Linked DNA regions of Solanum lycopersicum. Each later gene encodes a partner of the first gene's protein in a complex. Links are inferred from orthologs where the notes say so. Each region holds a gene or a part of one and is shown in the gene's direction. Other genes may lie near its edges.

The links.
Region 2: mediator of RNA polymerase II transcription subunit 16 (region 1) and mediator of RNA polymerase II transcription subunit 17 share a complex: the UniProt entries of both Arabidopsis thaliana proteins name them as parts of the mediator complex. The link is inferred for Solanum lycopersicum from reciprocal best matches to the Arabidopsis thaliana genes SFR6 and AT5G20170.
Region 3: mediator of RNA polymerase II transcription subunit 16 (region 1) and mediator of RNA polymerase II transcription subunit 25 share a complex: the UniProt entries of both Arabidopsis thaliana proteins name them as parts of the mediator complex. The link is inferred for Solanum lycopersicum from reciprocal best matches to the Arabidopsis thaliana genes SFR6 and PFT1.
Region 4: mediator of RNA polymerase II transcription subunit 16 (region 1) and mediator of RNA polymerase II transcription subunit 8 share a complex: the UniProt entries of both Arabidopsis thaliana proteins name them as parts of the mediator complex. The link is inferred for Solanum lycopersicum from reciprocal best matches to the Arabidopsis thaliana genes SFR6 and MED8.
Region 5: mediator of RNA polymerase II transcription subunit 16 (region 1) and mediator of RNA polymerase II transcription subunit 14 share a complex: the UniProt entries of both Arabidopsis thaliana proteins name them as parts of the mediator complex. The link is inferred for Solanum lycopersicum from reciprocal best matches to the Arabidopsis thaliana genes SFR6 and SWP.
Region 6: mediator of RNA polymerase II transcription subunit 16 (region 1) and mediator of RNA polymerase II transcription subunit 21 share a complex: the UniProt entries of both Arabidopsis thaliana proteins name them as parts of the mediator complex. The link is inferred for Solanum lycopersicum from reciprocal best matches to the Arabidopsis thaliana genes SFR6 and MED21.
Region 7: mediator of RNA polymerase II transcription subunit 16 (region 1) and mediator of RNA polymerase II transcription subunit 11 share a complex: the UniProt entries of both Arabidopsis thaliana proteins name them as parts of the mediator complex. The link is inferred for Solanum lycopersicum from reciprocal best matches to the Arabidopsis thaliana genes SFR6 and AT3G01435.

What each region holds. Positions count from the first base shown.
Region 1 is NC_090801.1:59,381,643-59,386,410, reverse strand, and holds the start of mediator of RNA polymerase II transcription subunit 16, read left to right. Parts: upstream 1-1,607; 5' UTR 1,608-1,938; coding exon 1,939-2,258; intron 2,259-4,768. UniProt on the Arabidopsis thaliana protein: Component of the Mediator complex, a coactivator involved in the regulated transcription of nearly all RNA polymerase II-dependent genes.
Region 2 is NC_090811.1:1,513,576-1,518,236, forward strand, and holds the start of mediator of RNA polymerase II transcription subunit 17, read left to right. Parts: upstream 1-1,514; 5' UTR 1,515-1,623; coding exon 1,624-1,712; intron 1,713-1,811; coding exon 1,812-2,031; intron 2,032-3,479; coding exon 3,480-3,593; intron 3,594-3,760; coding exon 3,761-3,846; intron 3,847-3,968; coding exon 3,969-4,353; intron 4,354-4,462; coding exon 4,463-4,661. UniProt on the Arabidopsis thaliana protein: Component of the Mediator complex, a coactivator involved in the regulated transcription of nearly all RNA polymerase II-dependent genes.
Region 3 is NC_090811.1:29,982,260-29,986,993, reverse strand, and holds the start of mediator of RNA polymerase II transcription subunit 25, read left to right. Parts: upstream 1-1,604; 5' UTR 1,605-1,762; coding exon 1,763-1,857; intron 1,858-4,734. UniProt on the Arabidopsis thaliana protein: Component of the Mediator complex, a coactivator involved in the regulated transcription of nearly all RNA polymerase II-dependent genes.
Region 4 is NC_090802.1:67,516,069-67,520,039, forward strand, and holds part of mediator of RNA polymerase II transcription subunit 8, read left to right. Parts: intron 1-97; coding exon 98-222; intron 223-296; coding exon 297-477; intron 478-892; coding exon 893-1,000; intron 1,001-1,082; coding exon 1,083-1,153; intron 1,154-2,319; coding exon 2,320-2,610; intron 2,611-3,971. UniProt on the Arabidopsis thaliana protein: Component of the Mediator complex, a coactivator involved in the regulated transcription of nearly all RNA polymerase II-dependent genes.
Region 5 is NC_090800.1:84,077,833-84,082,595, reverse strand, and holds the start of mediator of RNA polymerase II transcription subunit 14, read left to right. Parts: upstream 1-1,758; 5' UTR 1,759-2,082; coding exon 2,083-2,292; intron 2,293-4,493; coding exon 4,494-4,763. UniProt on the Arabidopsis thaliana protein: Component of the Mediator complex, a coactivator involved in the regulated transcription of nearly all RNA polymerase II-dependent genes.
Region 6 is NC_090801.1:60,839,514-60,844,083, reverse strand, and holds mediator of RNA polymerase II transcription subunit 21, read left to right. Parts: upstream 1-1,564; coding exon 1,565-1,774; intron 1,775-2,913; coding exon 2,914-2,991; intron 2,992-3,163; coding exon 3,164-3,215; intron 3,216-3,339; coding exon of another isoform or gene 3,340-3,347; exon of another isoform or gene 3,348-3,361; coding exon 3,362-3,438; 3' UTR 3,439-3,719; downstream 3,720-4,570. Other genes in the region: iron-sulfur cluster assembly SufBD family protein ABCI8, chloroplastic, read right to left, coding at 1-626. UniProt on the Arabidopsis thaliana protein: Component of the Mediator complex, a coactivator involved in the regulated transcription of nearly all RNA polymerase II-dependent genes.
Region 7 is NC_090803.1:5,625,740-5,629,733, reverse strand, and holds the start of mediator of RNA polymerase II transcription subunit 11, read left to right. Parts: upstream 1-1,194; 5' UTR 1,195-1,510; exon of another isoform or gene 1,511-1,515; intron 1,516-2,803; 5' UTR 2,804-2,818; coding exon 2,819-2,872; intron 2,873-3,850; coding exon 3,851-3,967; intron 3,968-3,994. UniProt on the Arabidopsis thaliana protein: Component of the Mediator complex, a coactivator involved in the regulated transcription of nearly all RNA polymerase II-dependent genes.

The sequences.
Region 1 (4,768 bases):
TATACAAATTACGATGTATAATTTGTGTTATATAAAGCAAGAGAAAGATTTGATATACAATTGTCTTATTTTGATTTAATTGTATACAAATTCAAATTTTATGCAGATATACAAACACAATTATTGATATATAAATATAATAATTAAATATATATAATTATCTAACCGAAATACATATACAATCGCTATGCTTTTATAAAAGAGATAATTGTATAAAATGACAAACTAATAATATAAAATAAATATAGTAGCTATCCTTTAATTTATTTGTGTTCCATAACAAACTGTTTGTCAGTCTCTATCTCTCTCATATTCTCTCTCACCTCTCTCCTCTCTCGCTCGCATATTCCTGTCGCTCGCCTCACTCGCTTTATACAATAGAATTGTATAAATTGTGTTTCTACTTGTATAAAGTGAGAGAAGATTGTATAAATGCATGCAAATACATACATCTTCGTCCAATACACTTATAATTATACAATACAAGTATTTTTCTGTCCAAGTATCCCTTGCCTTTCTCATTGTATACAAATTCAAATTATATATAATTTTTCTCTTTCTCGTTTTATACAACTCGATTAAATTATATTTTCTCTGCACAAGTCTCTTTTTCGCCTTTCTCACTTTCTCGTTTTATACAATTCAAATTGTATATGATTTATCTCTTTCTCGTTGTATACAATTGAATTTTGTCGTTCTCGCTTTCTCGTTTTATACAATTCAAATTGTATATAATTTATCTCTTTCTCGTTGTATACAATTTGCTTCAATTGTATATATAACGAATCATACATATATATGTTTGATATAAAACGCAATAATGCGAATTTTGCTATAGCAAACAAATATGAATTTTATGTTTGCTATAGGTGAAAGTTGCCCTTTATAAAAACGAGGGCCTACCAACGATTTATACAAAAATCTGACACTCCTGTCAACGATATATACAAATCTGATGTTCCATATATAATTATAACTATAACATACAAATATAATTTTTATGTTTGCTAAACCTAAAATTTTACTCTATATTGTTTACACAATTTTTTTAAGGAAAAGTTTAAAAAAAGAATGTTTAATAAGAAAATAACATTTTTGAGTCAAAAGTAGCCATATGGTAATTTTTTGACTAAAGTTTTGACTATATGAATATCTTTGGGCAAATTACAGAAAATTAAGGCAAAATTATAATCTATTTCTTAAAAGTTTATAATTACAAAAATCTCTCAAAACGGATACAATAATATAACCACTGATATATTAATCTAATGCGTAAGATACATTAGTTTGATGTGCGAGATAAACTAATCTGATGCGCGAGATACTCTAGTATAATGCCCGAAGTACATTTTATACATGATATAATGTAATGTGCAGAATACATTAATTTAATGAGCGAAAATAAAAAATTTATAAAATTGATAAGTAATAATAATAATAAGTAAATTAAAATGTGAGATTTCCGTAATTAATCTAATATTTTTTTTTGCCTAAATTAATGAATAGAGAATATTTTTACTCAATTTAACATAATTTATTGAAGTAAAGATAAAACAACCTTTTTATCATAGTAGTATTGTTTGTTAATTTAATGGTTACCCCGTCTTATCACAAGCTCCCCCACTCAGCCCCAATTGAAAAACGTTATCAGTGATTTTGGCTTCCACACTTATAACAGTGTAGTAGTTTTAATAGTAAAATGAAAAGCCGAATAAATCCCCACTAGCTGGAATCTCCGTTCACATTCCTCCTCCCCCACTCAAACCCTAACCCCACACAGTCACCATAGTGATTCCTGTCGCCTTCAACTGGCAAAGACTTTTTTTCGGCCAACCACTTCTCTCTCTAACCCCTCTCTCTGCCTTTCTCTCACTATATACGTATACATATATAATTATATTATATATTAGGGTTTTTGGGCCTTTTTGGTTTATTCAAATGAACAATCAACAACCACCTGTTGCTAAAGATACTGAAGTGGAGAAGGAGGAAGAGTCTTCTTCTGTGATTACCAATTCTCTAGAACCTTCTACTAATAAGGTTCACGAGAAACCGGATATCATTATTGAAGACGACGACGACGATCATCCTGCTGCAATTGTGGCTATGGTGACGGAGAAGGAGGTCTCTTCTGTTGACGATGATCCCATGGATGAGGATACTGTCAATCCTGCTGTCGTCTTTTGTATTAGGCTCAAACAACCTAGGTCAAATTTGCTTCATAAAATGAGTGTTCCTGAACTTTGCCGCAATTTCAGGTGATTTTTTAAAATTTTGTTTATGCTACATCTCAATTCTGGCTACATGACTTAGAAGATGATATCAATATTTTTTTTCCTTATAACTAAAGTAAGGATACGATCGAATTTAAAAAAAGCAGAAAAAGTGAGATTAGTCTGTTAGAGGTTTACTTAGTTATGCTGGAAGTGGAGAACTTGTTGGAACTTCGCAGTTTAACTGTTGAGGCGGTGGAAGTCACTGAATTGAGTTCTAAAGTTGCTGTACGTTGAGCTCACTGCCTCAAGTGATAGCTAGTTGCTGATCGAAGTGTTGACTTGTTAGTCCGATCATTTGCCGACCAATACTATTATTAGAACATTCTGCTCCCAATATAATCATCACTAAAGTTTAACTTTCTAGATATATTATAAGGATTTGGGCCCTATAATTTGTTCATACATGCAGTAGTTCACCTATGCAAAATGAATTAGTCAAAAATATGTTATTTTTAATGAAGTTTCAGTGGAATATGGAAGATATGAGAAGAAAAACAGAAACTGCAGTCTCATTATGGTCTTACAGAACGACAGAGGGAAAGTTCAATGTTTTTTTTAGTTTCAGTATTTTTGTTCCTAGAGTTATTTCACTTTCTAGATAGAGAGAGAATCATCCTGGTAAGTGTAGTTGCATGCTAATCTGAGAAATTTCAAATTTGCTTTGCCATTGCGTCTTATGCCCTCAATGGGGTAATCATCTTCTTTTTTCTAATAAGTTACATAAGACGATAGGTTAAGTACCTTTAACAAGAGACCAGAGGGGTTTACTATGTTAGAGACTGAAGTACTTCCTCATTTGTTCCTAAATCTTAATAGAGGAGTTAGTTTTAATCCATCCAGTGAAGGGAACTTTAGAGAATAAGACAGAAGTTTCTCTATTTATCTTGCTACATTGTAGAAAGTGGTGAAGATTTTTTTTCTGAAACTGGTAACTCTAGTCTATATATCCACAGGTATACTAAAACAAAAGTGTAGTTCCCCTTCAAAAGTTTTACAACTTACAGAATAAAACAGTCTTAGTCGAAAACTGCTGCTTATAAACAATCTAGCACATCAAAGATATCTTCCGTCCTAGTTAATATATCTTGTTTACATCAAAAATAGAAAAGAGCTGAGCAGTCCATCTTGATCTTCTGTAAGCTATTCTGCCAATTTTCAAAACTCCTGCTGTTTCTCTCTTTCCAGATTGTCCACCAAATACATGCCGGGACAAGTTTCCATCTCTTCTCCTTGTCAGAAGCATTGCCATCTCTATTCCAGCTGCTCAGGACTCCTTTAATGCTCCCTGGTTTCACCCATCTGATTCCCTTTAGACAGATGCACATTCATTCTCCATAATTGTTATGGCCATGTACAATGCAAAAAAAGATGGTTAATTGTCCCAGCATGTTCTCCACATAAAGTACATCTAGAAGCCAACTGATAGCCTCTTGTCTTTAGATTTTCATGAGTCAAAACTGCTTCTTTTGTTAATAGCCACATGAAGTAGTTTACTCTGTAGGGTACTTTTGGTTTCCAGATGATCTTCCATGGCCATTCCATCTCCTGTCCAGCATTCTTGTTGAGTTTCTTATACACTGAATTTACTGAGAATTGACCTTTGGTATCATTTTGCCAAACTAATAAGTCCTTCTTATCAGTGAGGTTGCTGAAAGACCTTACTGAATCTTGAAATTCTGCCACTTAGTCAATCTCCCAATCCTGAAGGTTCCTCCTTAAGAACAAATCCCATCTTTGTCCAGTCCACATTGTAGCCACAGTGGCCTATTGATGTTGGCATAAAGTAAACAATTCAGGATGCAACTGTTTCATAGGGACAGATCCATTCCACTTATCCTCCCAGAAGGGTGTCTTTGACCCATCTCCCACTTCTACCTTGGTTCTGTGATATAGCACTGGCCATAGATTTCTGATTTTCCTCCATACAGTGCATTTATATGAAGTACTTATCATTTGTCATCCACATATTTTCCATGCCATATTTTGGTGACCTCTTTCCAGAGCATGTTATCTTCATTTGCAAACTTCCACAACCACTTCATCATTAGTCTCTGGTTTTGATTCCTTAGATTTCTTATGCCTAGGCCTCCTGTGTTTTTACTCACCATCAGGTCTTTCCATTTAACAGGAAAAAAAGTATCATTCTCAAAAAAAAAAAAGAAAGATGAAACTTCTTCTTATCTTCATTGCCTTGCCATAAGAAATTTCTTCTAAGAGCATCAATGCTATTAGATACATTGGCAGGCATAAGGAAGACTGTCATCATATAAGAGGGTAATGCATCCATCACACTGTAAAATCACTGTTAATTAAAGTCGATCTTCCTCCCAAGGACAAGTACTAACTCTTCCAGTTAATGAGTCTCTTTTCACATTTCTCATGTACCCCATTCCATATGTCTCTGGACTTGCTTTTAGCTCCCAAAGGCATACCTAGGTAAGTAGTTGGAAGCTCCCCAACCTTGCCTCCTAGTGTTCTGGTCAAAACTTCTG
Region 2 (4,661 bases), on another chromosome or scaffold:
TAGGTGACGTGGCAATTGGCAAATTGCCATAATACCAACCACTACTATAAACACATCATCAAAATATTAAACTTGTATATTTTGTTATTTTGTTTTTATACTATACTTCTTTTAGTAGCCTAAGGGCACTAAAATAATTAAGAATTACTAGCAATAATGTCTTTTTGATTCATTGAGGAGGTGTATCAACTTCGATCGATGACGAATTTAGAATTTAATTATTATAAACTATAAGTTGAGAGAAGGAGATTTAAATTGTATATTTAATTATATTTATAGTTGAAATTAATTAAACATATCAATGATTTAAATTTAATTGCTTCAAACTTTTAGATTTTTTTAAATAAAAAATTTATTGTTCTTTTGTATTATGAAATTATATAAATATGAAATTAATTGATTTTCTTAGTTAAATTTTACATGTATATTAATGCATCGTCAAAAACAGAATTGAAATAAATCTATTGTCAAAGAATTGCATATGCTACTACAATGTTCAAAATCAAATCATTAAGTTTTATTGAATCTATGAACTCGTGATTAGACCGATCTGTTACTGTAAAAATAATCCTTAGCCGCCAAGAAAATAATGAAACTAAGATGTTTATTGTAATGTATATAAGTAAAATTTATTCACCAATCATATTTATTTGAGTTAATATATGTAATAATATTTTTAACTGTGTTATTTTCAGTATGAAAGTTATGCATGAATATAAGACGCATAACTTTTCTGTAGACCTAGTTACTATCGAAACTACAAGACGATTTGCTAACTATCGAACCTTTTTGAATATTTAATTGCATGATTTTCTTTTCAGATAGGTTGATCTTCAAATTTTACCTTTAATAATTGATAATTGCACGATTTTTCTTTTAAATAGGTTGATCTTTAATAATCAAACTTATACCTAGCGGTACATAAGTTCTTTAAGGGCACACGTGCTATAACTTATGAGATATTATGATTAAAAAAAATCTAAACTTACGTCCCACCAAAAAAGTTATTGATTTATCATAAGAGACAAAAATTGAAATCAAGTACAAATACGATAAAAGCGCAAATAACTCATTTTTTGACGAAAAAATTACATGAATTAATACATTTTAAAATATAATTACTGATTTTAGCTATATTTTTTGTTTATTACCATTTATAGCAATACTGTAATAAGTCTGTAATATGTATTAAAAGTGAATTATGTATGCAATATATATGAATTCTAATTGTTTTTGAAATATATTATGTTTGTTTGGTAAAAAATTGTCGCATTGTACTATAAGTGTATTAAAATGTGTTATAAGTGTATTATCTATCATTAAAACTTGTATTACATGTGAATAATAAATTGTTCTGTGTAATATGTATTAAACTTGTATTATAAATGAATTAAAAGTGATCAAGCGAGTACATTTACGTAAGTTTCCCTTTTTTGACCCACCAAACCAAACATGAAAGGGCCATAGTGTGGTTCGTAATAGGCCCATGATTTAAGCCCAGATCTTAATAGGCCCATACATTAAGCGAACCAAACCCCAATTATTTTCGACGGGTATTTTCCCCGATTTAGGGCACAATTCGGGATTTCTCCGACACTTCTTCCCGGAAAATCTCCCTGAAAAATGAACGGCAATCTGGAGATTTCCGTCGACAAGCTTCCGATCAAGCGTTTAGAGTATATTGAAGAACAAGGCGCTGAACGCTTCCCTTCGTACACTTTCTTTCTCTCTCTATATAAAAATGTAGAATTTCATGCATAATCAGTTTGTGAGCTGGATATTTACATTTAGATTTTTCGTAATTGTTGCAGTGATATAGGATACGATGAGAAAACGGTGAATTTGATTAGGAGAATTGATTTTGCGTGGGCAGTGGAAAGAGAAGAGCCAAGTAAGAAGCAGAAGAAAAGCAGTAGTGCTACTTCTTCAAAGGAGACAAGTAGCAGTCAGCCATGGCAATGGCAGAGTTTGGTGGAGAATTTGCGATTGGCTCATCAAGAGCTTCAAGTCATTATCGATCTCATTCACACTGTAAGTGTTAACATTAGAATTTTGGCTTATAATTTTAATGATTGAACTTAATGTCTATATAGTTTTGATAGAAAATAGTTCAAATTAAGTTTTAATTGTTCTGATATTTACATCTGGTCTGGTGTTTGTGTGGTGTCTGGTCAAAGACTAATGTGTGATAATTGTGAGATTTTGAGAATAATGAAGTTGAATAGAGAAAAAAGAATGGTGAGCAGGTTATAGGTTTGGGATTTTATTCTTTTTGAGTTGATGATTTCTAAATTAGTAATTTGTACTTAGTAAATGGATTGCATATGATACCTACAAAGTGGGCTAAAACTACTAGGTTCTGCTGAACCTGCTTCCCACACTCTAGCTCCGCCTTAATACGGAGGTTTAGTCAATGCCAACTAGTGTGCGATTGAGGTGTCGGTTGATTGATTGATTATTTGTTGGTACATGTTTAGTATGTCTTGTGCCTAGCTGGTTGTGTTCCATGCACTTACCATAAGAGGAAAACTTTGTGTTTTAGCCTGATAATGTGCTTGAAAGTGGAATACATTTGTCTTATGCTGTACTCATTATTGGCCAATTGAGTTTTTGTGGCATGCAGTTTTAGACTGAATGATACAGAGTAGTGTTTGCATCATGGATAAATGTTAATAAAATTTCATCTATGAGAATAGAGCACACTGGTTTTATTCCAATGTTGAGGTTTATCACGAGAGTGGGTTGGAACATTTTTATTTAGTTATCAATATTAGTAAGGTATGAATCTAATTCAGAAAATACAATAGAGAACTGTAAAATACACACATGTATGATCGTGAATGTACTTGAAAAGTGGTTAGAGAAAGAAGATCAAGACATCTTATTTACAACAGAGGAATTATTAACTACCTCTAAGTTGTTCCAGTAGGGAATTTCATGTGTGCGTGATAAAGAAAGGCCTTTTGGAAGGTGTAAAGTTGGATACACCACATATTGGATTTTTGAATTGAATCAACGTGGCTTTTCTAAATTGCAATAGCTACACGAGTATCAAGCTACTAAGCCACACTATGGAAGTCTGGGAAAGGGTGGTCGAGATGAGGATGAAGAGGGGTGTGTCAGAACCAATTCAGCTTGAAGCCATGAAAGGAGATTGTTTGAGCAGTATAGGGAGAAGGAGAGGGACTTGTACATGGTGTTCATTGACCTAGAAAAGGCATATGATAATGTCCCTAGCATATCATTTACTCCTCATTATCAGTATGATAGAGACAACTAAGGATTAAAAAATTTGACTTAAGCTTTCGGCATTAGTTATTTAAGTGGCATGAGATTCGTCAGTCCATTTGCTCCTTCAATCCCTTTTTGCCCCTTCTCCCTGGCATTTAAGACAGCACCTTTCTTAGGCATAAGATGAATAAATTAGCAGGAACTGTGGATTATGTATTGCATTGTTGACTCTGCTGTTCTGCATACAGGTGGAGGCAAACGATGCAGTGACAGTGGCTGGCATGACCAGGCCAAAGCAATTGCCCAACGAGCATCTGTCAGACCTTGCCGTGTCTATGGCAACCAAGCTGCAATGCTTCCGTGTATTTTACTTTATCCCTTCTGCAAGATGTTATGGTTGATGTATAAGTTTGAGTTAAACAAATAATCCACTGATTATCTTTAAGTCTAATGGTTTGTTGACAAAGTATAGTTATGCACTTCATTAGCAAAGCTGTATGTGTTTCGTAATTTGGCTTTTCTTTTGCAGCATTTGGGGAAATATTTTAAGCAATCTGCCAAAGCTTTGGAACAACAAGTGGCTAGAGAAGCAAGATTTTATGGTGCTCTTATCAGGTTTGTTCTTTGTGGCTACGAACAGTATTAGTACATTGTGAAAGATATGTGTGCAGTCATTTAGACTACCATGTCTTTGTGCCTTTCCTCAAAATTTTGGCTATTTCCTGATGAGCTGATAGATTGCAGCAAAATTGGAAGGTTAAATGGCATCGGATGGTTGCTGCTGCTTCTGGAAATGAAGGGTTTTACATTGATTTATTTGACACTTCATTATATGATCCAGCGGTTGCATTTCGCCCATCTTCTGCATCTGTGGTGCGTATTGAGCATGACCCAGCTGGGATGCTGGCTGTGAATTTACCGCCAAATTCCTGCCGGACTCTTCAATTTGAGTTTCTCGGTGCAAGTACACCTGCTGGTGTTATAAAACATAGCAGACTGAGACCAAAGGTGTCTTTTGAGGATTCTTCTGGAGAAACTAAGAGAGAAAAAAGTGATGATGAGCATGTGAGAGAAACTCATTCGACACTCCGTGAAGTTCACCGAGCAATCTTTGATGAGCAGGTATATTTCTAGGTTCCCTCCTTTCTCTTTTTAGTACCCTTTGAGTTTTTCTTATTCATTTTTGTGACCTACTTCTGTTTTCTGATTATTTTCTTGGTCCTTGTTGCAGGTGTTTGATTTGGTTAACCGTGAAGCATTTAATCCAGCTTTGGGTGCTGACGTGACAGGAATACAAGAAAACTTGTTACGTTTAAGTATAGGTCAAAGAGCTTCTCTGTCCATTTCACTTGTACCATCTGCTGACGATGGTCAGACAGCTAATGCTGTGGGTGATGAACATCCAGAAACTGCTATTGTGCCTTTTGAAT
Region 3 (4,734 bases), on another chromosome or scaffold:
CCTTTCGGTTATTTATAGTTTCCCCAAGATTACATATGTGACTCATTTGGTGATGCTAGTAGGGCTCACTTAACTCATTTGGCAGATTGTGTTTTGCTCTTTAGCTCACTCTTCTTTTATTTCAAGCTTCATATCTTTGAAACTCAATTGGTGAACTTGATCAAGTCAACTTTTCACATTCAATGGATCACCGATTCCCCCTTGTATACTCTTTCAACTTTTATTTTTGCTCAAAATTATGTCACCTTTTGTGATTGACTTCTATTTCGCCCATTCAACTTCGGCGAATTGCCTTTTCATGTTTAGTCTGCCAACCTGCCTTGAATATTTAAAATTGTGCACACAGTCAACTTGGGTGAGGTCAGACCAATCAGGCGATCCACCATTTTTATTAGCCGACTACCAGTTGGAAATTTGTACTCCTTACAATGTTTTTGGCCCTATTTCCATGTATTCATCATTGCCTTGTCCTTTATCCTTCATACCTTAAAAACCTCAAAATATCATCAAGATAGGACATAAACAGGCAACGAGGACACTAATTGTTGAACTAAAAAGACCTCAAATGAGTGAAAATCTACCACTCATCATAGAGTTCAAGTGGAAATATAAACATGGAAAACAACTCGAAGATCTCGATGCATAATATATTGCAACTCAAAATTAAGAATTTAGAACTTGAAATTGATAACATAATTCATATCAAGAATTCTCAAAACTAAGGGTATTACCCTAGATTAGACTCTTATTGACTGAATTTAGATGTAGGGCATGAGGACGAACTCAGTCTATCAGTATGAATAACCTTATATACTTGGAAGACCATTTTTTTTTTAAGAAACGCAAAGAACTTGAAGAAGATGCTTGAAAACCCTACCTTTCTCATCATGGATGATTACTCTAAGTCTTGGGAGTGCTAATGAACGTAAAAGAGTTGATCAACAATGTTTAGCCCTTAATTAGAGGTAAAAATGTTGGGGTTTAAGCTTAGAAAGGGTGGGAAAACACTGGAATATCCCTACTAAATAGTGTGGGATCGACTCTATGGGTGCCACCTACAGATTATAGAAACTTCTATTGTTCGTACTAATCAACTATAGATCGAGTAATGAAGACTGAGATTTGGGTCAACTTTTACAAAGTCCTTCCTACGATCCGTAGGGCCCTCTCATAGAACCCAAAGTTCCTCAAATTTTTTCTAGGACACTCCTACGGTTCCTCTCTTTGAATCGCAAACCATTCTACAAACCATCTTGCCAGTCCGCAGGTCATCATATGAGACTTGACATTTTCCGAAATTCTTCATCTACTTAAACAACTTCATTTGTGAACAAAAACCACATAGAGTCCTCTTTTATTCTTATTTTTTTTTAATGTAAACTCCCAACTTCCAATTACGAATATACGTATTTAGAAGTAATTGTATAACTTTGGAAGAAACGATCACACAACGATTTGCAATGGAAGTTGCTTTTAGTACAGTAACTTACCATAATACAATATTTACCATAATTATTTTTGGTGTGTTAATTCTTATTGAGAATTTATTTATTTCCATATATATATATATAAATGTTAAATATTAGGGAAATAAATTAAAAAACAAACAAACCCTAGGGATAGTATTTACAAGTCAACATTTTGTGTCTTTGGCTGCTGCACAAAATTATTATTGTTAAAAGAGTAATATTTTATAAGAAAAGAATAAACAAGACAAGGTTGGACGTGGAAAGGAAAAATCAAGCAGTTGGTTAAAGCAGCGATGGTGGACAAACTGATCGTCGCCGTTGAAGGCACCGCTGTGTTGGGCCCTTACTGGAAAATCATCGTTTCCGATTACCTTGATAAAATTATCAGGTACTCATTTTCATACACTTAAATTTTCAGTTTTTGTTTTTTCTACTTGTTCCCATTTTTGTTTTAGTATTTCATCCTGAATTCAGTCATTGATTTTCGTTATTTGGATGAATTGTTGTATGTCGGCCGATTATCTTTCCCTAGTTTAGGATGGGGATTAAAACCTCAACCTTTACCCGAAGTTAATCAAAATTATGGTCAGAAGCTATTGAAATCCAACTCCTGACCTCAGCAGACCATAGATTCAAACTCGTCTACTATGAATACATTGAGTTGTTTATTTATTCAATTTTGTAAATATCTTTTACGGAAAATGCTGCATTCCGATGCTAGTAAATCATTGAGAAAATGCTGTGCTCAGGAGAATACCATTTCTCTATGTGATAATCATGTGCACATAGCATTTGAGTTTCTCTGAACTAATATGGGAAACTTTTGAAGCCTTGATACCGAAGTTTAACTTTGAAAAATGAAAATTAGAATGAATGGCTTACAAAAAGTCTAATTCCTGAAGGGAGGCGGTTAAAGAACTCGTAGTTGTTTGCAATGATTGGTATTTCCAACCTTTGCACTTTACCCACCCTTCCCTTCTATAAGATCTTTTGTTTACATGGTTCTCTCAAACCCTAAACCTAAGTTGCTCGTAATCTCCAAAAATGTTGCCGCAACCTTGTCGGATCCTCCAAAAATTTACTACTTTTGAAGTATCCGACATCCACCTCGTGACATTTTTAAGAGTCGAGGCAACAGCCTTAGTAACGTAAATCCTACTTACAATTTCTTGTTCACACAATTACTATTTCTCCATGAATTCTCTGGCAACCTTCATCATCTCGTATCTCTCTCATTTTTAATTTCTTAAGGCTCTCAATCAGTGATTCTTCTTTTCAAGTTTCAACAGCTGTGGTCTTTGTTTTTCAGAAATTTGGTTACTCTATTCTATCTCTCCACTTTGACTACTTAGCTGATTTATATTTATTGTGTTTAATTGAATTTATAGTGGCACCATAGCCTTGCTCATCTGCTTTCTTTAAAAGTGAGGTAATACTGCAGCAATAGACAATGAGGATGTTAAACAACCAAAATGTGACATCAAGAAAACAAAATATATGCATTTTACCCCCTCAAAGTCAAAGTGTTGGAGAAGATAGTCAAAGTGAAACCTTTAGGCAACACAAATCCGATGTTAATTATTTAGACCGACAAATTCCCCTCTTATTCTAGCAAAAATTAAATAGACCAAGCCCTTAGGTATACAGATAAGCATGAATAAGGGAAATATGATCATTTAATAGGAAAATGTTGTTCACCTTTTTCTCTTAACTTTTTAGTCGCGTGTTGATTAAGTCTGCGGAGCTTGGAATCAACAGTGTATTTTAATCTTCTGCATGGATGGAACTATTTTTTTGAAAGGATAAGTAAACAAGGTTAATTCTCTTTCAGAAGAGGCATTTCAGCAATAATAGTTGTTTAGAAATAGGCTTTTTAGAGTAAAACTGGATAAACGACTTCCAATTATATTACTTCCGTTCTTTGGTTGAAGGAAACTAAAAGAAGCCATGTTAATTGAATTATGCTGTTTAAGATATTATTGCTTTGCCAACTATTATGCATGCATTACAGTTATCTTTGTGGCATATTTTTCTCAATCCAATAAACTTATTGAGACCCTCAATTTCTTAGACTGTTAGTTGACTTGCTGGCTCACTACATTCCCTGCTTCGTAAGATATATAAACTCTGGAGAAGTATTAAATGCAGATTTTAAATTTAAAACTTAAGATTAACTATTGAGAAATCTTAAATCAATATCTATATTTGAAAATTTGGGCACAATTCGAATGAAGGATTTATTAAGATGTTTTTAATATACTGCCATGTTTAAATGGGAGTAGAGTCTATCCAAGACTACCAGGGAAAATCCTCCATCCATATGGTGTGGATGCAACTCATTTTGGTTATTTACTATATATAACCCTGTCCATGACAAGGTTGATTATATGCCACTCAAGGTCATGTATATGTTTCCCCTCTAGGGGCAAGCTCAGGTTGCTAACGAGAAGAATATGTTCAAGGGAAAAAATTATTGTAGTCAAGGAAAGGTACATTTGCAGGTTTCTTTTGCTAACAATTCTTGTTGACCACTGAGAGGGATAACTAGACCTGCTTTCTGACCTTCTATCGCTGGTCTACTTAATTATAGATTTCTATCGATTTTCAGTTAGGTTTCTTCATTTGAGATGCTTCTTAGTTCTTTCTTTTACTGGTATTTCTGAAAGGTGAGATCATCCAATTTTGAATTGATATCAGTTCGGTGTTCTTCTCAAATATGCTGAGCCGCACATATGCAAGCAAAAACACATGTTTTGTTGAGCAAATGACTGAGAATTCATCCTCCTTCACCTACTCAGCTCTTCCTTTTATCTTGCTTTACCATGGCTATTTATTTTTGTTTGGCTTTCTGATCGTTTAGCTGAAACAGTTGGGGAGTTTGTTTGGCTTGAATGGCTGATGCAGAAACCTCCGCCGAGTGGTTCTTCTAAATTCTGATGTTTGTTTAGTATTTGAATCAACACATGCATAAATTTTTTCATTTGCCAGTATGTTGTTATGGAGCTTGTTCATGGTTGTTCCATCCTTTCAATGAAATTAGATTGTCTTATAACTTTATATGATGATTGGACGCTTTTAACTGGCCATCCATATCATTTTTCTTTGATATCCTTATTTTCAATTTTTTTTCGTGGAAGAGTTTTTGGTTTAGATCCCTCTGATACCTCCAAATGGAACTTTAAAGCCCTAGTCGATAGCATCACTCCTGCAGCCACCAAACAAAGAAAATTAAAGTGCTTTCTGTTCCCCTAATAGTTGGTTGATA
Region 4 (3,971 bases), on another chromosome or scaffold:
TTTTTGAAGAATTTGACACGGGTGCGGCATCAAAAGTGAAGAGTCCGCGCAGCTTAGCTTTCTGTTAGTTGTTACTTACAAATACTTTTCGATGCAGTTCTACCTGTTATGCTGTCATCAAAGCTGCTGCCAGAGATGGAAGTCGAAGATAATGCCAAAAGGGAGCAATTATTACACAGCATGCAACACCTATCGGTAGCATCCCAAATTGAGAAGTTGAAGGTGGAAAGCTCTGCAGATGCTATTTCTTCTGTTTCTGTATCCTTGTGGCTTTCTAATATACCTATAACACACAGGTTAGAATTGATATGATTGGAGCAGCATGTGAAAGTGCTGAGAAAGTCATAGCTGATACGCGCAAAGCCTACTTTGGAACCAGACAGGGGCCAACACTGCTTCCAACTATTGACAAGGCACAAGCAGCAAAAATTCAGGAACAAGAAAATTTACTTCGCACTGCAGTAAATCATGGTGAAGGTGATAATATTTATGTTCTGAGTTTTTTCCCAGAAACATCTTTTCTCCTTCTCAGAGTTCGTTAAATGTTTTGCTTGCACAAGACATTGACGCTAAAGATACTTGGACCCCAATGGTCCCTATGTTGATGTTTAATCTAAACTAAAAGAAAGAGAGAAGGATTCTTGCAAACTATCAGATCCACTGAGTGCCTTGTTAATCAGAAAATTGCACATATTTCTGATGACGAAGAAGGTGCAATTGCAAGTCAGATGCTTCAATGTGCTTCTGCTATGCATCACAATATATATGTACAATAAACCTGACATGTGTCTAGTGTGTGTAGCATCCCTTTGGTGGTGTTTGGCGGTACACTCGTTTATGATTTGTTTTAACATGTATGCTCACAGATTTCATGAAAATGGTACTTATGCAGGATTACGTGTACCTGGAGACCAAAGGCATATTACTTCTGCACTTCCTGGTCATTTGGTAGATGTGCTTACAGTGTCTGATGGCCCCCAGTCTTTCGCTGATTCATCCGGTAGCCTATCATCTATTGTTGTCCTACTGTTTCCACTTTATTTCATGAACATCTGACTAGAGAAATTGATGCTGTGTTCAAGTAGGGACTTATCTGAAGAATACTCCTCCCTTTCCATCGAGCAATGTTAATAGTCAGGGAGCTTTGTTACAGGTCAGATTTCTTATAATTTGCCTTGTAAATATGCCTTTTGCTTAAGGGATGAAGATCAATTTGAAACATGATTTTACTTCCACCCTCCGGCGTCCTGTAATGTTGTTATTCAAAGGAGCTATGAACAAAGGGACAAGTGGTTATCTTGTTAATGAGTGAATATCAATTTGGAACACATGAATTTTACTTCCACCACCCATAATTTTGTTACTAAAGGAGTTATGAATAAGGAACAAGTAGTTATCACACAATTATGCTATTCTATCTTTATCATTTAAAAAATTATGCTATGGTTTCTTTCTGTTTCGAAAAAAGGAGCCTTAACAAAGATAAGCGGTATGCCGTGTTACCAGGGGGTCACAGGTTTAGCCATGTGTAGGTCTCTCGCAAAAATGCAAAGTAAGGTCTGCACCTTCTCTAGTCCCAGGTATAGAGGGAGCCTAGTGAATTGGGCTACCTTTTTGTCGTCTTCTGTATGGTTCTACTATCTCTTTTACTGTTCTCGGGGAGGGAATTGTCATGCCTTTTTATTCCCAGTTCACTCTAGGTTTACAGACCTCTTTTTAGGTTGGCCAACCTGATTATTTTCACATGTTCCATAGCACCAAATGGATACCAAAAAACTGCACATCTTAGAATGGGTTTAGATCAATTAGTTACTGAAGGAGTTTACTAGGTCCACTATAGTATTTAATAATCATATACATGTTCTATGTTACACACCAAATACACTACCCTGATTGTAATTAATATCAACTACTGCATGTTCTTTGTATACTTACATCCTTGGTTACACATCAACTTCTCGTGCAAGTTGTAACGCCTGTTTTTTTTTTTTCTGGGGGTGAAAGAGCTGTAGGAATTATTTCCCTCATTTATTTGAATTTATTGGAGGATGGGAGATCAAGTAGAGTTTGCTATTAAATACTTATGTAAGAGTTCGGAGAGGAAATGCAAATCTCCTTCTATTCATGGCGCTAATCAGTAATATGGAAACAATAAATGATTAATCTGCCAGAAGTATACTGATCATATCCTTTTTCCATTCTTTCTCCTTAACTAAACATTACATTAAATCAATGTTCCCCAAGTTATTTTAATATATTGAGTCCTTATTGTCTTTTAAGTTCGTCAGTTCTAATATGTATGTATTGCTCTTGGAGTAGGCTTCTGGAGCACTTCGGGCTGCAGTTTCTCCTTCTGGGCCCACTTCCTTTGATACTACAACAGCATCACCTCTGCAACATGTCAACTCACCTAGGTCTAGTGCTAACATGATGAATACACCATCTCCTCAGCAACAGACCCATCAGCAACAGCAGCAGCAACAGCAGCAGCAGCAGTTGCAGCAGCATCAGCTCCAACAGAGGCAGAAAATGCTGCAGTTACCTCAGCATCAGCAGCAAATTCTTGCCCAACAGCAACTTAGGCAAGCCTCAATGCCTGGACTGGGGCAGGTACAGTTTGTACAAAAATCTTGATTGGTTTAAGGTATCTTTTTGTGAATTTGCACGACGTATAGCGTGCTTAGTATGGGCTACCTTACCATTACCCTTTTACTCATAAAGAACAGGCATATATCTTCTTTTGTTTCCTCCAATTGTCAGCTATGAGAATTGAATCCCTAGCAGTTCCTTCACAGAAAAGCCACTTTTTTTGGCCTTTAATATCCAACTAGTTCCATTAGGGAATCCACTGAGTCCTTTATGACAACCCGTAAATAGATTTAGCGGTGAGAGGGCCTGATGAATCACCATCCAACTGCGAACGCCTCTCATCTCGCAAAATTTACAAAAGTTGAAGGCTAAAATTGTTTACCTCATTCAACTCTTGAGTCATTATGATTCATTTAAAAGGTCCAGAAAAGAGTTCTCTCAGGCCTCTGCCACATCCCATGTTGACTTTTAACAAATTGGGAGAAGTCCTCCTAGTTGTGTGGTATCCCGTATCCCCATCCTAGCTGCTCTTTGATAAGGACTGGTAACTTGTCATCCCCATTTCCTTTCCACGTGTACTCCTCTGAACCATGCTCCAGTGCAATCTTTATCAACCCTTGACCTCCAATTAGGGATGTTCATGGTTCGGTTTGGGTCAGTATTGGTTGAAACCAAAACCAAATACATATCAATCAGTTTGGTTGTTGTTATTTGGTTTGGTTCAGTTTTAATGATACCTAATGATATTTCTCTCTTCAATTTTTCCCCTTACAATTAAGAAGGATTTTCCCATCCTTTTTCATCTTTGTGATGTCTTCCATTCAAAATACTTTTGATCATTCATCTAAAGAGGATTCTGGGTTTCTTTTATCCGAAGCGAATGCTTAGCCTATTTTGTGTTCTTTTTACAGTCAAAGACTGACATAAAATAACAAAGAAAATAGATTCATAAATTGGATCCACTGTTTTGATATGCTTAATGGTAAATCCTAGTATGTGAGGACAGGCCACTAGTTTTACAGCCAAGCTCCTGATCAACCTACAGGATTCCCAACTTCTCCAATAGGTAGGAATTTTATCTCATTTCTTCATCTACCAAGGAGAATTAGGTCCATTTCACCAATTAAAAAAGAAAATTGGGACCATTTCCCCGTAAAATTGAAGAGCAAAAAGTGCACTGCTTGCACTGATCTCTTTAAACTTGTTATGGTTCATCTCTCCTTATTTAGCATTCAGACAATTCATGAGGAGGAAGAAGCTCAGATTAGTTAGTAACACATGCACACTGGCTGTTTGTATATACGACATGCGTAAATATCCAATTCAGATTCTTTTCAAAGGGCACTTTACTCCAGGATTGCACATATTTTCCAAAGAGTATG
Region 5 (4,763 bases), on another chromosome or scaffold:
TTATAGGAGATAGAAGACTATGTATCTCTAAACTTCTACTAAATTATTTTTTTAAAAAGGAAATTATGTAATGTTTAAAAAAAGAAGAGAAAATTAGAGAATACTAAACTTATAGTTGTGTATTTACGTTATTTCATCTAAATGTCTAGCTCAAATGAGGTAGTGCCTAATGTCATTGAGAGCGAGTACCCTAGGCTCGCTTTGCTTATTCAAGTTTCACCCTTTCTTTCAAAAATCAAATTAAAGAGGGTTGTTCAAAATAGATTCAAAACTAATAAGTCAACCACGAAACTGACTTATTAGTATTGGATTATCACATTAATGGTTGGTGAACGTATTAAAATTTAACAGTTTGTCGATACCGGGTAGATTACTCCATTTTTCTTATTGGATAAATTATTACTTTACTAAGAATTATTATAGTTATATTTTTACCGTAAGTATCGTTATTAATAAATACCTATGTGAATGCACCCTCAAAATTTAGTTTTTCAAATATTTCTCATTATGTATAATTAAAGAATTATCATTTATCTGCTTAAGTAGAGCTAAAAAATATTTTGTTTGATCGAAGATTGATATATTAGTGGGTGAAAGTGAAAAAGAAAGCATGAAACAATTGAGCCAATGCACCATTCCTTAATTACCAATCCGACATTAAATGAACCATTACCTTATTAGTTGGCTAGTGGATCAGTCTATTTAAAAATCAATATCCGACAAGCCAAATAATTAAGCATAACTATCCATCTGATCCGTCCAATACACAAACCTAAATTTTAGGTTATTGAAAATGTCCAAATAATATATATGGACTATGATGATCTAGTTGTATAAAATAAATGTGATATTTAAGATACAGACATCAAGCTATTAAAACACACTATAAAAAATGAGAGAATGAAAAGAGTGATCCTATAAACGAAACTAATTTGAATTTATGCTAAAGCGTTTGATTGCATAAGTGTCATATATCTCATAATGAAATTGACGGAATCTCCCTTCATCATTATACCTCAATGCATTATTTAATTTTAATTACGTGATAGTTTTTGAGGTTAAGGTATGCCTCCAAACATGAGAATGAAACTCCATATATTCAGAGATGTTGATCTTCTTCATTAATGTGAAAATAACCAGTTTAAAGCTTGAAAATTTGTAGTGAAACAATATTTGAAAATAATAGTTAAAACTTTTTGACGAATAAATAATGTAACGGTGCATATAATTATCAAATAGACGAAGCCATCATCACTTTAAGAAAATCAAGAAATGTGTAATTTCTTGAAAGAGAATTCTGAAACTGGGGCGGAGTAATAAGGGACTACGAGGACATGTTCATCTCTGGACCTGGACAAACAAGTGGGCGAATACTATGACTATAATAATTAGATTTCACTATTACGTGATAATTTTTTAAACAAGTATACCAGAAGTAAATTCGCAATGATTTATTAGACGCGTAAATCAAGAAATTTAAGTTTCATGAAGAATAATTCAGGTCACAGATGAATAATAAATGAATGATTGTTAAACACCGTTTTAAAGAAAAAATAAAATAATAGATAAGTTCTTACCGCTCAACAGATAAGCTCAAACAATATTTAGGCTTCACATACTTTGAAAGGTATATCAAAAAACGCAATAAAAATATTTTTTCGCACACTTAATAAATATTTTTATATGGAAACTTTCTAAATATTATATTTTTTTCTAAATCAACATGATTTAAGGAGATGAATTTTTATAAACTTGGTCAAATAGAACTTTAGAGGTTTTATATTAGTTTTGACTTCTCTCCGACTAGTAGTACCATATTCCAATTTTGCACACCCTCTCCCTTCCGCCGTTACGCGTTACCTTCAGACATCCGATCTATCAAAAAGGGAAAAAAAAAATAGAACAACACTCGCTTCATTCACTCTCTCTACAGGTCGGAGATTCATATTTTGTTTCAAATTCCACAATTTTTACAAACCCTAATAGTAATTGATTGTTTGGGCGGTCAATTTTCATTAAATGGCATTGTATTAGTAGGAATTCGGGATCGTCGGAGTAATTTAATCGGAGGGTTTTGCGGAGATGGCGGAATTAGGGCAGCAGACGGTGGATTTCTCGGCACTGGTAAGCAGAGCAGCTGAGGAGTCGTATGTTACGTTGAAGGAATTGGTGGAGAAGTGCAAGTCGTCTAACTTATCTGATTCTGAGAAGAAAATTGGGATTCTTAAATATGTAGTTAAGACTCAGCAGCGTATGCTTCGTCTCAATGTCCTATCCAAATGGTGCCAGCAGGTTGTTTTCTTTTTTTTTTAATCTATTCACTCCCTCTCTCATTATGTATGTTGATGCATTCAAGATTGAACACTATCTTTTTTTAATTTTTTAGATATAATGATGTGTTTTTCCCAATTTGTGACCCCCTTTATTAATCCAAAGGTACCCGTTACCTCCCACCGGCATAGGTACGGGGAAAATTTTCTTTCCAGGCTTAGGCAGATGGGGATTCTATGTTTGAGTTCTTTAAGGGTTATAAGAAGTGTGCCTTCTTTCTTCTTTGTTGAGGGGTGCGAAGAGTAGTTTTCGACTTCTAGGGTTTCTTTTGTTTCAGGATTTGTGAATTGGAAAGAGGAAAAGGAGAGGATTTTCTCTTTCTTTATTGATGCATTGAGAGAGTAGTGACAGAATGTATATTGGTCATGTATTTGTTTTTGTGAAATTTGTGAGTTGGAATGGAGAAAAATGGATCTTGATTAAGATTAGAAAGGTAGCCGTGAAATGAGTAGGGTGGATGTTGTTTTAGGAATTGGGAAAAGATGGACCACGAGGAGTAATTTAAAACTTAAAATCAGATAGTTAGGGTGGAAGTTCTAGTTATAGTGAATGTCGAGGACAATTGCCAAAAGAAAACAAAAGTTGAGGACAACTTCAAAGGTTTTAAGATTGTACGATGCTCTGTTCAAGTTGTACCAACAGCTTATTTGATGAAAGGCGGAATGATCCAAGAGACCCTTGTATTTGAATCGGATTGTCGATTAGACCCTTCTATTCTCGCCTTTTTTTTTATGACAAGGGAAACCTGGAGCCGCTGCCTTTTGGGTGCACATAGGGTAAAACCCCACTCCTATGCAATAGCTCGCAAACCACATAGGAGAGGTAACCCGCACCAGGCGACTCAGAAGGCAAACCCCCTTGCTTTCACATGCAAGGTGTTTCGAACTTGAGACCTCCAACAAAGCCCTTCTATTCACGACTTTGTCGACTGAACTTTTAGACTCAATGAAACACAATCTTCTAAACCCCTTTGACCCTTCAGATTTTTAATGACATGTCATTTATTTTTAACTTTATTTTGAAGTTTTCAATTTTTTTCCTTATTCACTCCATTTCTCCCTCACCGTCTCTATCCCTTGACCACCTCTTTCCATTTCTTACATCTGATATACCACCATAACTTTCCATCTTTATCGGTAACCACTTCCCAAAAAAATTAAAGACCTCCATTCTCCTCGAAATTTTCATCATTCACAACTTTCGATCACCTTTTTTTTTCAGCAACGCCTCTGTCCACCACTTAAACCACCGTGAAGACTGTCATTTTCTGATGAGATGGTAGAGAAGATGAGCAATCTGGCGATCAGTTCGTTGAAGAAGGGAGAAGATGAAGAGGTTTCCAATATACAAAAAGCTGAACAATTTTGCTCTTTGGGCAATTAACAATTTGGGTTTATTTTATTTTATTTTATTTTATTTTGTTTTGTTCTGGACCAACTTGTTTTGCACTATGTTTTTAATTATAATAAATTGATGACCATTTTTGGTCACGTTTTGACAAAAAAAAACCACCACTGTGAACTCCTCTTCTCCATTGATGCCAATGAACACCACTAAAAGACCTCAATATTTCTGGACATATGCACATAATTTTACACAGCACACACTCCACCTAATTCAAAGAATCACAATCACTCTTCACGCTCTAAAACTACTGGATCTTTGTCACCTAACAATTACGCCAAAAACATGGAAAGGAAGGACAAACCAGGAACAGTAGGACTTATCCCATTTCTAATCTTGGGAGAAAGAGTATGTGTAAAAGAAATAGGGTGGGGTGGGAACAATGGAACTGCTGTCACACCAAAAGAGCTATGAGTTTCCTGTAGATCTTGCTTCAAACAACTTTCTGTAGCATCATTTGAACCTTTAATCTTTGATTTAATAAACTCTTTCGAGGTATATGTTGGTAATGCTATGTACAAGGTTTGTCTTCATGTCTTTCTTCTCCCTTTCATGTCTTCATTTCTTCATCTGTCTTTTTCTGGAAGGAAAGATACACTTGTATTATATTCAGTATCTAGGTGAGTAGAAATATGGTTGTCAAATCTTCCTGGACCCTTAGAATCAACGGTTGGCCCTATATTCTTTATCATTGATCTCGTAGAAACTGCAGTTCAAACTCCGTATTTAAAGTACCAACACAATTATCTGGTTTGCAGGTCCCGTTGATACAATACAGTCAGCAGCTTGCATCCACTTTATCTAGTCATGATACATGTTTCACCCAAGCTGCCGACTCGTTGTTTTTTATGCATGAAGGACTACAACAAGCCCGTGCTCCCATCTATGATGTTCCTTCAGCTGTTGAAGTTCTTCTTACCGGAAGTTATGATCGTTTGCCAAAATGTATAGAAGATGTAGGCTTGCAGAGCACATTAAATGATGACCAGCAAAAACCAGCATTAAAGAAATTAGACACACTGGTTAGG
Region 6 (4,570 bases), about 1.5 Mb from region 1:
AAGGTCTTCCTATGAGTTGTAGCAATAGAAACACTATCAAGAACAGCATCAACTGCAACATTTGCTAAACGATTTCTTTCATTCAAAGGAATACCCAATTTATCAAAATACCTAACAAGCTCAGGGTCAGCCTCATCAAGACTATCTAAAGTTGGTTTCTTTTTAGGTTCTGAATAATAACAAATATTCTGAAAATCAATTTCTGGGTACTGATTATCAGACCATTTCGGCTCTTTCATTTTAACAAATTTCTCATACGATTTCAATCTATACTCAAGCATCCATTCAGGCTCATTCTTTCTTGATGAAATTAACCTAATAGTATCCTCCGAAAGCCCTTTTGGCAGCGCAAAAGATTCAATATTTTCATTAAAACCCCATTTATAGTCTCTTTTCAAGAATTTCTGAAGTGGGTCGCCTTCATTTGAGATTGATAAAGATGATTCTTTACCTGGAACTTCAACAGTGGCCTTCGCATCAGCAGCTTTAATCTTGAAATTACCTGGATTTGAGATTTTGGGGCCGGGTGAATTAGGCAAAAAGTTATACCCTTTTGGGAGTTTAGGCTGCTCAGCGATGGATTGAGGACAGAAGTGTGAGATTCCGTTGGTGAGAAGAGAAGCCATAGTTGATGCTTAGAAGATAGAAAGAAGCAGGATGAGAAGGCAAACATAAATTTTATTTGTTTCTTTTTTAATTTTTTGTGGTGTCTGATCTAAGATGTCGTATGCTGACCACGTGCATCTTTTCAAAGCCTAAATTACAACAACAAAAAAAAAACAATTAAAAAAAATAGTAAAGCTAAATTATTTTTGTTGCATTTTATGTCATTTAAGCGCTCACTTGATAATGATAAAGTCAGACTTTATGTTGAAAGGTTTAAAATAAAAACAAGTAAATGTGAAGAGTTATGACTGGTGTTTGTGCATGTTACTTTACAAATTAGGACTGGTGTTTGTGCATTATCTATAAGAACGGTGAAACTCAGAAAGTGACGAAATTTACTCAGAAATTCAATGGCGTTCATAAGAGAAATTTGTAAAATCCTGGGGAAAATCGTATAAGAGAGAAAATCGTCTAAGAAAAAAAAAGGGAAATCGTATTATGTTTTAGAGAAGTAAAATGAATGAAAATGAGAAAAAAATTAATAATTAAGATTTATGAGTCTACATGGAGATGATGTTTTTTGGTGCTCATGTGGCATCCATATGGTGTCCACGTGGCGTTCAGGTGACACTTAACACACCTTTGTTAAAATTAAGGGTAAAAATAACTCAATACTTTAATAGAAGGGCTAGAATTTAATTTAAAGATATATGTGAGCTAATTCGGATAATTCAGAAATATTTTTGAGCATTTTTCGTAAAATTTAATTGAAATAATGGTTAATTTTAGGTCTAATTTTAAAACAATTGTAACAGATTATCGAATCTACTTCGGCTCTACCCGGACCTCCAATTCTAGGGTTTTCAGGTAAGTTCTTCTCCTCTGTTTTCTATTCCTTTGTTCGATCTTTTCTCAAAATTCACCATTTTTGTTAGCAATAAAGGGAAGGATTTGGAAGATGGATATCATATCACAGTTACAGGAACAAGTAAATACAATTGCAGCTCTTGCTTTCAACACCTTTGGTACTCTTCAGAGGGACGCCCCTCCTGTGCGTCTATCACCTAATTATCCAGAACCTCCACCTGCTAATCCCACAGAAGACTCAGCTAATGTTGCAGAACAACCAAAGCAAATGAGTGCTGCTTTTGTTAAGGCTGCCAAGCAGGTGAAACTCCATACTCCATACCTTCACTTTTTCTGCTTATTCATCAACGAATATGAACAAGCCACAGACCAGGGTATAAAAGTAATCTGCGTGTACTTCGAGAATAGGGAATTTTCTCTTTTTTCGGAAGATCAAGATAAACTATTTAGTTTAGTTTCCTTTTTTGTGTAGACATTTTTTTTGTAAATGAGCCTGAATAAGTGATTGAACTTGTAGAATCCCTTTAAGAATAGGAAGGTATATCTTTGTGTTCCCTGTAAATGTTGTTGATTGCACCTTCTTGGTGCTGTATTACAAATGCACTTACCATTCCTTCAAAAAATCATTTTTGGACAAAATAATGTTTCTTTTGTCTTCTTTTGACTAGTATGTTTACTTTTGGAAACGTCAAATCTTTAGATATATGATGTGTTTGTGCAGTTCTATACAAGATAACACTAAGTTGTATCTTGGCTCATCATATCTAATGCGTACATGCAGTTCTATACCAGATGATATTAAGTCTTTGTTTGTTCAGACTTGAGACCTGCGTGGTTGAGTTCAAAGACCTTAGTCCTGATTCCTGAGACCAGTGTGGTTGAGTTCAAATACCTAGTCTTTTGTCCTTAGTTTAACGAGAAATACAATAATGCTATTAGCATCACCAACTACTTCAATAAAACTTGACTGAATCACATAATGGCGGACAAATTCCAACTACTAGCTGGACAGGATTGCATGCCTCTAGGGATTTTTACTAGAGAACTTGATGTCAGCCTCTCAGGTTTGGTAACCATGACATCTAGGCCAAGACTCACCGGGTAAACCTGGTGTCAAAACCGGAAAACTGAGTTCTAGTTTATCGCCCTTTAGCTGTCTTCTATGAAATGTATATGGACAACCCTGTGATTAGTTCTAAGGTGTTCAAGTTTACAGTTATGTTTCCCTTGTTTTCTTCTTGGCCTCACAATCAGAGGTTGTCTAATCTAGCATCCTATCAAACTTAAGCAGCACAGCCGACACTTGAGAGTAGCCTTGAGGATTGTGTGGCTCTAATTCAGACCAATTGCAAATTTTCATTGTGATCCTAAAGTGTATGCTTTGCTACAATGTCATTGTATTAAATCTATCTTCTCTTTTTCTTATCCTTCTTTGAGCAGTTCGATGTGTTGGTTGCTGCTCTTCCTTTATCGGATGGGAGTGAAGAAGCCCAATTGAAAAGAATTGCAGAACTCCAGGTATATGCTTCTTTGTGAATAATTGGTGGAATTCACTTTTTGACATCCTCTAATTCTGATGTGTTATAGCTTAACAGTATTTAAACTAAAAAAATAAAGAAGGATAAATAAAGATTAGTCTGTCTATTTTGGGCTTAGTAGTCTTACTCGGTTGTGTATGTATGTGATGTAGGCTGAGAACGATGCAGTTGGCCAAGAACTTCAAAAACAACTGGAAGCTGCAGGTAAGAGTTTGTTTTTCCCTTGCTTTCTTTCTGAAAGATAGTGGAAGCTGTTCTGATTAGGCTAAGGTCCAAATTTCCGTTTTCCTGTCTGTATTATTAATTTTTTGTTTATTCTGAGACTCAGTTTGCTGATTTTGGTGATTTAGAGAAGGAGCTAAAGCAGGTCCAGGAGTTGTTTAACCAAGCAACAGATAACTGCCTGAACTTGAAGAAGCCAGAATGAATAAGGTAGTAGATATTTCAGTTTGCTTGAGGAGCCCATTCTTGCTGGAATATACCCTGGAGGAACAACAAATTGATTGTGTCCATGTCTGTTATGGGTACATTTATTAACTAATTATAATTAGGCATGCTCTGACATTATTTTTTTTTTAAGTTCTTGGCCACTGCTGAAGAAAAGAATTCAGTATACTATTGTATCTGGTTTAGAGCTGTGTTTATAGAATGAAAAGAGGTAGGGATAATGTGCCTAAATAGCAAAAATCAGCAGTTTTTTTGTCTCCACATCCTTAAATATTAGTGTCTTCTGTGCCACGTGTTCAATTTAGAAGTTGGCTAGTTTCTCTGCTCCAGCACTTGTCAAAAGTTATGCAATTATCAGACTGACTTCGTAAACATGTGATCCCAAAACATGGCAGCTGGCATGCACAACTACCCTACCGAGTTGATGATTTTAATTCGTAGACACATTTTGGGCTGTGTCTGGGTACTTTGGGAGTTTAGATTGCATATCGCCAGAATATTTTCTTGTCGTGCTGGAACTGAGGCGTGGCCGAAAACAAGTAGCAACCACACAAAATATATAGAAAACCTTGTCTGCCTAATATGTAAGCGTGACAGCAACGAAGAGAAGAATTTACAGCCATCGGGGTTTGTTGAATGCTAAAATTTAGATAGAACGTGGGTCCAACTATGACTGGTAGAAGGACTCAACCACGTCATATGACAATTGGCATCAATACATGAATGAAGAAACTAACGCAGGAGACGTATTGAAGACTACAATACATAAGACATTTTTATCAAAATAAAACTATCACGGAAATCATTCAGACGATTGCAATTATTTTGGAGGAAACATTAGTAAGAATTGCTATTGAAAGGTGAACCAAAATGAGCAACGAGCAAAATAGGGTGTTCAGCATTGCCAGGATAGCCAAAAAGCACAAGTATACAGTTACATGCCTACACTTCTCCAAAGACCTTCAAGTATATCTAGATCTCATATCTAAGTAATAAAAGGGCAACGCAAAAATAAAAAAACAAACAGCATACAATCAGTTGATCGAAACCATAAATTGTATCCTCAATGAAATAGCCTACAAAGGTTTCCAACACCCTAAGATTGTGAAATA
Region 7 (3,994 bases), on another chromosome or scaffold:
CAAGTGATTAAATTAAAAATATAATTAAATTTTATGTATTAAATGTTTAAAATAGTTTCTCTCTATAAAATAATTTTAATATTAAAAGCACATCGATATTTGTTTTTTTTCGTAATTTGACTTTCAAAAACACTTTTTAAAAAAATTATTCAAACACAAATTGCTTATAAAAACACTTTTTAAAAAAATTAGTCAAACACATATTGCTTATAAAAACACTTTTCAAATGAATTTGCTAAAAAGTTTTTTTAAAAAACTTGTTTTAAGAAAACGTTTTTGAAAATAAATAGTTTTTAGATTAGTATATATTCATTTAATCAGCAAATGTATTTTTAAAGGGAAAATTGTATATAGCAAACTAATAACCTAAAATAAATAGAGTAGGTAGGGTTTGATTTAATTATGCTTCATAGTAAACGTTTGCAAAAAAATTGTCAGGCGCCTCTATCCCAAAAATCTCGTTCGCCACTCTCCTCCAATCTCTCACTCGCTTCCTCACTTTTTACACAAACACAAGTGTATAAAAATTGTTTCTAATTGTATAAAGCAGAGAAAATTGTATAAATACATATATTTTTGTTCCTCTCTCTCCCCTCTTCCAGGTCTCGCTCGCCACTCTCCCAAATCTCGCTCGCCACCCTCGCCTTTCTCACTTATACAAACAAAAGCGAAATGTATAAATTGCGTTTCTGTTTGTATAAAGCATGAGAAAATTGTATATACACATGCAAGTACATATATTTTCGTCCTATACAATTATAATTATACAATAAAAATACCACCCTGCCCAATTTCTTTTGTCTTTCTCTCTTTCTCGTTTTATACAATTCTCAAATTGTATCTAATTTCTCTCTTTCTCGTTTTATACAATTCTATTCAATTGTATATTCCTTGTCAAGTCTTTTTTGTCTTTCTCTTTCTCATTTTATACAAATTCAAATTTTATATAATCGTTCTATACACTTATAATAATGCAATTTGCTTTATACGCTTCGTTTTTATACAGTTCTCTGCCCAAGTGTCTTTCTATTTTTTGTTTTATACACTTCATTTTATACAATTTGCTTCAACTGTATATGTATAGAGAATTATATAGTTTCTATGTGTTAAAGAATGACAAAAAGTCCCACATCGGTGATTAATGAGATGAGTGAACTCCTTATAAGGCTTGAGCAATCCTCCACCCTTTGAGCTAGCTTTTGAGGTGTGAGTTTCCTTTTGAGCTAGCTTTTGGGGTGTGAGTTACGCCTAAGACCTAATTTCACACTATGTTGAATTTTTTGTTTGCTATATCTTTTTTAAAACCTTTATAACATATTAAACAAATAAAAAATTGAAAAAATGTTTTTTTTTAAAAAAAATATGCGTTAATTTAAGCAATATGTTTATTCAATTACATGCTTGTATGATAAAAATAAAAAATAAAAATTACAGGCAACAACTCGGAGCTGAGACTATCTCCGACCACCGGTGACTGCCGTTCTTCTGCCACTCATAGCCGCCGTTGAAGGTAAGGTATGATTGACTTCTCACTTGTAGATGCCGATATCAGACATCTCGCTGGCTCCTTTTTTAATAATAAGAAAAATATTTCGTGCCTGTGCGTCTTATATGTATTTGTATTTGTATCTGAGCTTTGTTTCACTCATGCATGATATGAAATATCGTTGTGCATTTGAGCTGAATTTGGGGCTTTTTGGTTCTTTCGGAGCTTCAGGGATTTGTAATTTGAGGACCTTATTTTTTTGGGTCCTAAATCCACTGCTTGCTTTAGTGGCTGGCTTTAGGGTTGAGCCGCTGCAGTCAGAGATATGAGTGATGAATTCCTCCAAAAAATGGAGAAGAGAGAAGATGACAAAGAGTTAATGAAGTAAGTGGAATATGAAATTAGTGAGGTTTTGAGAGTGTAGGACAAATTTGGAACAGCGAAGAAACATAAGACTATCACTGGTTGCTTGTTTAATAAACTGCAGATCTCAGGTTCAGGGCTATTGAACGATTCGAAAGAGCTCATTCGGAGTTGAGTGAATGGCTACTCCGAGATAGAATTTGAAAAATTGAATTCAAATTTATAAGACTATTGAACAATTAGAAAATTGCAAAAAACGAAATGATTCCATTTGAACAGTAAGGGGTGATTAATCAAGTCTGGCAATGGGTTTGAGTGTCGAAGGAAATAGCCCCTTTGCAGAAATGCTAGAGGAAGACGGTGAAATGTTAGGATTGCTCGTTTGATAATCAGCAGGTCTTGGGGGTAAAGGCGGAGCTAGGATTTGAAGTTTACGGGTTCAGTGTTCTAGTCCTTGATCGTTCGGTATGGGGGATGGAATAGACAAGGATTTCTCTCGTGGGATCAGCTATCCAACTTCTATATGGAATAGCCAATCTCAACATTTTAGAACATATCGCATGAGATTGTTATCCTGCATCTTGCCAACTACACGCAGGATAAAATAATCTCTTATAAATTAATAATTTATACATATTAAATAGATTTCTTAAGACAAATATAGAGTTCAGAGAAAAGTTGTTGATTTCGGCCAAACCCGTACCTTGAAAGAGTGTAGTAGGGTGGTAAGTTTAATGGACATAATACTTATTAGATGTAAGTTTTTCTTCTGTTTTCGGATTGATTACAGAGGATTTAGGTTTCTGATTGTTTAATTATTTGACTGCAAAGATCTCAGAACCAAAATCTCTGAAAACTGCACATAATCAGGTTTTATAGATTCTGTTTATTTCTCCACATCTAGATCGCTCTACGGCATTGCAATTCAGTAATCTTTTTCTCCTGTCCTGACAGCTTCCCTCAGAATACATGGATTCGCAAAGCCAGAATACTTCATTGCAGCGGCTGCAAAATGTTGAGAAGGTAAATGTTTCTACAGGATTATTGACTTAAGATGGGTTGATTTCAGTAGCTGCTATTCTTTGTCATCAAAATACTTAATGTTCTGATTTCAGAATTGATACTACAATATTATTCCTTCCTTGCCCGAGTCCTTGTTACTTGTTCCCCTATCCTGTATACCAAAATGTTTCAAGAAAGAAAGAGAGCGAGGAGAGTACTTTTTGAATTTAGGTGAAATCCATATTTCGTTGATTGGGTGAAACACATAGACAAGCTTGAAGATATATGGATGGTGTTATGCCTCGGTAAGGGACTCCACCATTGAGCTCTCCTAAGCCTTCTGGAGTTCCGGATCCTTCAATTTCTGGGACAACCGGACAAATGAAATGAATGAGAACAAGAGCCGCTTGGCTAGATAACCATGACTAAGAATTTCATGTCACCCACCTAACTGTCAAAATGGGCTGACCCAACCCAACTCAACCCATCCTCAAATCAGCCAAAATAATATAATTCGAAGTCAGAGAATGAAGATGGGAATAGTGTTGAGATGACGACAATGATGAATAAATCAAAGACGCTGTGGACCGAGAATAGGATCTGAAAGGGCTTTTCAAACTTCTGCTTCTGTTGGTTGCTTTCTTCCTGTCTGGCTCATTGAGTATCTTCCACAAACTCCAGGCTGATCTTCAACAGTTGGAAATCAAATCGTATTCGAGATCGTCCTGTCATATGCCCTGAATATCTACTGACACGAGTTTTCTCTGGTCTAACGGAAACAGCATCTCTGTTGTTTCCTAGTCATTGGTTTCTTCAGATTAAAAACGTGGAGATGATATAGCATGTCAAGTGCAAAGGCAACTAATCGTAATTTGATGAGTAAATCACGATCATAACTTTCAATGCGGAGTCAGTAATCACTTTTCTTGATAGAAAAAATTGTAACTGAAACATTACTCTCATACCTTCTGTTGCTGTATCTTCCTCTGATGCTTGCAGAGGATAGTCAGAGTTCTGGAGCTAGCAGGAGGTGTAATGGATGAAATGGCAAATCCGAGCGGCCCCAGGAAGGAGCTTATTAACAACCATTGTAGTGAGTTCATGCAACTAATCAAGGTAAGGACATACTTTACTTCTTTGCAC